Xenopus tropicalis: one gene and its partner. The protein of the gene in region 1 purifies or fractionates together with the protein of each later gene. This does not show direct contact. Links are inferred from orthologs where the notes say so. Each region holds a gene or a part of one and is shown in the gene's direction. Other genes may lie near its edges.

Evidence for each region. The genes of interacting proteins can lie anywhere in the genome.
Region 2: the proteins of apob (region 1) and vcp purify together in Homo sapiens (affinity purification with western blotting, with the first as the bait; 3 studies listed by BioGRID). This does not show direct contact. The link is inferred for Xenopus tropicalis from reciprocal best matches to the Homo sapiens genes APOB and VCP.

Annotation. Positions count from the first base shown.
Region 1 is NC_030681.2:143,945,930-143,949,429, reverse strand, and holds part of apob (apolipoprotein B-100), read left to right. Parts: intron 1-104; coding exon 105-260; intron 261-662; coding exon 663-787; intron 788-1,748; coding exon 1,749-1,834; intron 1,835-2,098; coding exon 2,099-2,315; intron 2,316-2,615; coding exon 2,616-2,843; intron 2,844-3,500. UniProt on the Homo sapiens protein: Apolipoprotein B is a major protein constituent of chylomicrons (apo B-48), LDL (apo B-100) and VLDL (apo B-100). Apo B-100 functions as a recognition signal for the cellular binding and internalization of LDL particles by the apoB/E receptor.
Region 2 is NC_030677.2:212,815,676-212,818,583, reverse strand, and holds the end of vcp (transitional endoplasmic reticulum ATPase), read left to right. Parts: intron 1-20; coding exon 21-329; intron 330-622; coding exon 623-778; intron 779-929; coding exon 930-1,084; intron 1,085-1,621; coding exon 1,622-1,724; 3' UTR 1,725-2,408; downstream 2,409-2,908. UniProt on the Homo sapiens protein: Necessary for the fragmentation of Golgi stacks during mitosis and for their reassembly after mitosis. Involved in the formation of the transitional endoplasmic reticulum (tER).

The DNA of each region.
Region 1 (3,500 bases):
TTGATGAATGTTAACTGTACGCCTGCACAAAAAGCAATAAAATGTCACCTACAATAATGCATTAGAGGGAATCACTAATACCGAATGTCCCGTTTCTTGCTCAGGATACCGTGTATGGAAAATGTACCAGCGAGATTAAAGTCACAGGCCGAAAGGGTAACACGCCGACAGATGTTACGGTCAAGAGGAATCTGAAGACCTGTGACAGGTTTACACCAATCAGAGATTATGTCAACCCCCTAGCAATCATTAAAGGCATGGTAAGTCAAGACTTTGCAAGGGCTGCCCCCCTTCTCTGGAATTCGCTCCCACAAACTGTCAGACTTTCTCCCAATCTCTCTGCCTTCAAGAGATCTCTAAAAACACATTTATTTAGAGAGGCTTACCCTAATCTAGCTTAGCAACACCCTGTGCCACACCTCTCACAACTCTGGTCATGCCCATTCCCACACCTTGTGTCTATGAAACCCACTTATTGTACAGCGTTGGGGAATATGTTGGCGCTTTATAAATAAATGTTAATAATAATAATGGGTTTCTTGGCTTTAAGAAAACGAGAATGACTATGCTAGTCAATGCTATGGATTGATGTATGTATTGATCAGGCATTAAAATATTTCACTGGATTGAAGTCTGATTGTCCTGTATGGTTTTCTTCACAGAATCGTCCATTGTCTACACTGATCAGCAGCAGTCAGGTTTGTCAGTACAGCCTGGATCCCAAGAGGAGGCATATTACTGAGGCATCGTGTGCTGAGACTCACCTCTTCCTGCCCTTCTCATACAGGTGAGTAATAGAGTTGTAATATCATCTATCTATCTATTTATCTATCATGTATCTATCTATCTATCTATCATCTATCTATATATCTATCTATCAATCATCTATCTATCTATCTATTTATCTATCTCTCTATCTATCATCTATCTATCTATCTCTCTATCTATCATCTATCTATCTCTCTCTATCTATCTATCTATCTATCTATCTATCTATCTATCTATCTATCTATCTATCTATCATCTATCTATCTGTCTATCTATCTCTATCTCTCTATCTATCATCTATCTATCTACCTATCTATCTATCTATCTATCTCTCTATCTAACTATCTATTTATCTATCTCTCTATCTATCATCTATCTATCTATCTATATATCTATCTATCTCTATCTCTCTATCTAACTATCTATTTATCTATCTCTCTATCTCTCTGGGGTAGTTGGTTAGTTAGAGAGAGGCACATGGGTGACACTTAGGAAACAGGCAAGAAGAGAAGTTAAGTGTATAGTAGAAAGAGAATGTGGAAAGGTAGAGGGAATGAGAAATTCATCTAATTTTCCTGTTATTTATATAGCGCCAACACATTTCTGCAGCACTTTACAGAGATTATTCCTCATTCAAATTAGTCCTTGTCCCAACGAAGCTTACAATCTAAGGTCTCTATTGCATTCACACACTATGGTTATTTTAGTCAGAAGCCAGTTAAGCTGCCTGTATGATCTGGGAGGAAACTGGGGTACCCAGAGGAAACTCCCCGCAGATAGCTCCCTGACTGGGATTGAACTCAGGACCCCAGCACAGAAGCGCTACCAACTGAACCACCGTGCTGCCAATCCAAGTCCCAATAGGCACTGGGGTTTACTTACCAACACTGGGGAAGTTTGATTTTTGGCTGTAACCTATAAATACACAAAGTTTTCTACTTGCCATTTTTTTAATGCATCTCAACCTTTTCCTTCTCTAGAGACCAGTATGGCATAAATGGAAAAGTCACTCAGACTCTGAAGCTGGAAGATGTAGCCAAGACCAACAGCAGAGATTTTGACCCAGGTACAAAAATAAACCCATTTGAGCACTTGGGCCACAGCTTAGTAGGGGATTTTGGGACGAGATCAGAAAAGATTCAGCATTAGGTATTAGGCAAGAGAGAAGCTGGCAATACTCAGTACAAGTATTCTCTGTAGCCTTTGAGTCTTTTGAGTGTTCAATTCCTGGTAAAGACTGGGGGGCAAAATTAAGTTATTTTATATATATTTATTTATATATATTTTATTTATATATTTATATATAATCATTTTTTTAACTTTGTTTCAGACACCAGTCTGGCACGAGGCTTTGCCTTGGAGGCTACAAAAACAGTGTCCAAAAATGAAGATGCTGCATTGGAAAACCTACAGGAATTACAGAAACTATCCACGTCAGAACAGAACCAGCAGAGAGCCAGTCGCTTTTACAAGCTTGTGACAGCCTTAAGGGGTCTGAATAACGACTCACTAGGACCCCTTGTGCCCAGGCTAATGCAGCTATCCAGGTACTGGCTAGAGGTTATATATTTTGTATTTTATATACTAGCGCTTTATAAATAAAGTTATACATACGTACTTTGTTGCGTTGAATATTGGGTGGTAATTGTGCTGTAAGCAAATTGACCACTAGGTGGCAGTATGGCTTCTTATAACTTGCCCTATGTAGCATGCACATGAAGACAGCTTCAAAAGTAGATTATATTTCATATATATTTATACATGATAAGAACATAATCATTATTTTTACTAAATGTTTATGTAAATCTTGTTAAATGGAATTTAATGTGATATATCTAAAATTTCAGCCCTATTGCTCTGCAAGCATTGACTCAGTGTGGGACCCCTGAATGCTTCGGTGGAATCCTTCAGGTGCTCAGAAGTGGAGACATATCCCCAGTCATAAGTGACACTGTAACCTTCGGTTTGGGCCTTTTACCTTCTCCATGTACAAAACGTGTAAGGGAACTTCTCAACATGGCCCAGTATCAGTCAAGCAGAGCTTCGTTCTATGCATTAAGCCATGCAGTCAGCAAGTAAGACTTTTTGTTAATTCTAAATAATTTAGTCTTGCATATCTATCTATCTATCTATCTATCTATCTATCTATCTATCTATCTATCTATATCTATCTATCTATCTATCTATCTATCTATCTATCTATCTATCTATCATATCTATCTATCATCTATCTATCTGTCTGTCTGTCTATCTATCTGCCTGTCTGTCTGTCTATCTATCTGCCTGTCTGTCTGTCTGTCTATCTATCTAACAGACAAATATGTCTGTTTGCCTATAATTCTTAAACATTGTTTTTATTATTGAGAATTAAATGCTAGTACAGGTATGGGATCCCTTATCCGGAAACCCATTATCCAGAAAGCTCAGAATTACGGAAAACCCGTCTCCCATAGACTCCATTTTAATCAAATAATTCAGATTTTTAAGATTGATTTCCTTTTTCTCTGTAATAATAAAACAGTACCTGTACTTGATCCCAACTAAGATATAATTACCCCTTATTGGGGGCAGAACAGCCCTATTGGGTTTATTTCATGGTTAAATGATTCCCTTTTCTCTGTAATAATAAAACAGTACCTGTACTCGATCCCAACTATGATATAAATAATCCTTATTGGGGCAGAACAGTCCTATTGGGTTTGATTAATGGTTTATTGATTTTTTATCAGACT
Region 2 (2,908 bases), on another chromosome or scaffold:
CTCTTCCCCTCTGCTCTCAGGCTCGGCAGGCCGCTCCTTGTGTCCTCTTCTTTGATGAATTGGACTCCATTGCCAAGGCCCGAGGCGGCAACATTGGAGATGGTGGTGGAGCCGCCGACAGAGTCATTAACCAGATCCTCACAGAGATGGATGGAATGTCCACAAAGAAGAACGTCTTCATCATTGGAGCCACCAACAGGCCAGATATTATCGACCCCGCCATCTTGCGTCCCGGCCGTCTGGATCAGCTCATTTACATCCCACTGCCCGATGAGAAGTCCCGCATTGCCATCCTGAAGGCCAACCTTAGGAAGTCTCCTGTTGCCAAGGCAAGTCATTACCCAGGAAGGGGGCAGAATGTCCTTTTATTGCCCAACTGGCTTTATTGGTCCCACCCCACACCCAATAAAAGGCATTTAATTGGTTCCTTGTGTGTATATGATAGAGACTTTAGATTACCCATCCATCTTCCAGTCTGTCATTCAAAGCACTGCCTGGTTGCTATGGTCGTGGGAGGCTTTAGCAACCAAGTGCAGCACAAAAAGTTAATTGTTCTGTTTCTGTGGGGCCAAACCTCCCATGCTCCATGTAAGTTACTGACGCCTGCTGCGATTCTAAACAGGATGTGGACCTTGACTTCCTGGCCAAGATGACCAATGGTTTCTCCGGTGCCGATCTGACTGAGATTTGCCAGCGTGCCTGCAAACTGGCCATCAGGGAATCCATTGAGAATGAGATCCGAAGGGAGCGAGAGAGGCAGACCAACCCCTCGGCTATGGTAAGGAGGCGCTCGCTGTGATTGGGGCAGAACATGGGGGGTATTATAGGATGTCTCTGGGGTTTGTGCCTCACTGCGCCCCCCGTAGCCTGGGGGTCCGGGGGTTTCGCCTTCTACTGACCCCTCTCTCTGTTTCCCCCACCGATTGCAGGAAGTGGAAGAAGACGACCCTGTACCGGAAATCCGGAGAGACCACTTTGAAGAAGCCATGCGATTCGCCCGCCGCTCCGTCAGCGATAACGACATTCGCAAATACGAGATGTTCGCACAGACCCTTCAGCAGAGCAGAGGATTCGGCAGCTTCAGGTAACGCTGAGCAGCGAGGGCCGTCTCTTATGCCAAGTGCCAGCGTGGCCCCTTCACTTCAGCTTATTGGTCCCTGTATGGGGCCCTCCAGCCTAACCAATATATGGCCAAAAGTTGTACAGAAAATTCTAGTTAGGAGTTGGGATCAGATTGGTGCGTTGGTGGGTGTCATTTCCCAGTGTGACCTCTCCTTAGGCCTCTGTTATTGCTTGGGGTTCTGATCATACAAATCTGGGCCAGGGGCTGGTACCGGAGACGCTAAGGGTCCACTCTGTGACCTTGCCCAATGGGCAGCTGTATAATGTGTTGCCACCCTAGTCACTAAGGCAAAACACAATATTTTTGCAGCACAAAAGCTTTATCTGTGCTTATTGGTGCAGAGTAACTGCACTTACAGACCCTGGCATGGGGGGTGCGCTGGGCACCCTGATCCCCAATATTAACACTTACGGCACCCTGATCCCCAATATTAACCCTTACGGCACCCAACCGATTGCTTGTATCATCCACATAAACTGCGCATTTGCTCTCTGTCAGATTTCCCGCCGGGGGTCAAGGTGGAGCCGGTCCCAGCCAAGGAGCGGGCGGAGGCAGCGGCGGCAGCCATTTTAACGAGGAAGAAGATGATCTGTATGGTTAAAGAGTCGGCCGACTCGCCCCTCGTTGTACAGCGCAGAAATTCCTACGTTAATGGACACTCAGCTTTTCATTCCCCAGTCCCGGCAGCGTAGATGCACCCCCCCCACTCCTATGATTTGTTACACGGCTGTGAGAAGGGGAGAGCCAAGTCTCTCAGGATTCCGCCTTCAACTCTTACTTTTCTCTCCTTTCCCTCCCCGTCCCCCCCCCCCAAGCGGCCCCTGTGCTCGCGGCGTCGAGGGCGGGGAATGAAAGTTCTGCCCCTCCCACCGAGTGACTTTGGACTCCTTTTACCACCTGTGGGGGGAGGATCCTGCAGATCTGGTTCTGACTCCTCCAGTTTCAGCTGTTTTGCCTTCAACTGTTCATCCAAAGTGGGTTCTGTTGGGTTCTGGTTCTGTTTGGGGGAATCGATGCCAAGATTAACCCTTTGGCTGCCACCGTGCCTGGGGAGCTTTGTAGCCGGGCACCCTGGCAGTGAAAGGGTTAATAGAGCGGCAGCGGGGCCCCAGGGTGTTGCAGGGTTCTCCAGCTGTGATTGGGTCGCTCCCTCTCCTGTGGGTATGAGAAAAGCAGAATAAAAGAAATTAAACATTCTCTGAGGGTTTTTTTCCTTTCATTTTTTTCATGTTGGATTGAAATACGGAGGCTCGAGCGTCTCGACAATAAACTGACTGATCTCTAATGCGACTGTCTCTTTGCTCTTTGTAATTGAGTGGGGGGGGGGGTTATTGTATGTCTCCTCACCTGTGGGTATATAGGTGGCACCAGAGCACCACTCGGACCCCCCATACAGGGTAGGGTGTAATAGGAGTGGCTACTGGGCACCCACCTGGGTCGGGTCTGTCCTGCTGGGGAACATGGGCCCCCACTGTCTTTGTGAGAGCTTCCACTGGGGGGGGGGGGGGAGAGAGAGAGGCAGACAGGCAAGTGTGGGCAAGGCAATACTCTGAACCCAATTCTGCAGGGATCTGGCCAGCACTTGTGGGGTTGATGCCATACTCTGAACCCATTTCTGTGGTGATCTCGCTGGCACGTGTGGGGTTAACGCCATGCACTGAACCCATTTCTGCGGTGATCTTGCCGGCATGTCTGGGTCATTCTGAGGGGGGTGATTTATCTTCTGAATCAGAACGCTGGACCCAAATTTACATGCAGTTTTAGTGGCCGAGTCGTGATTGGATT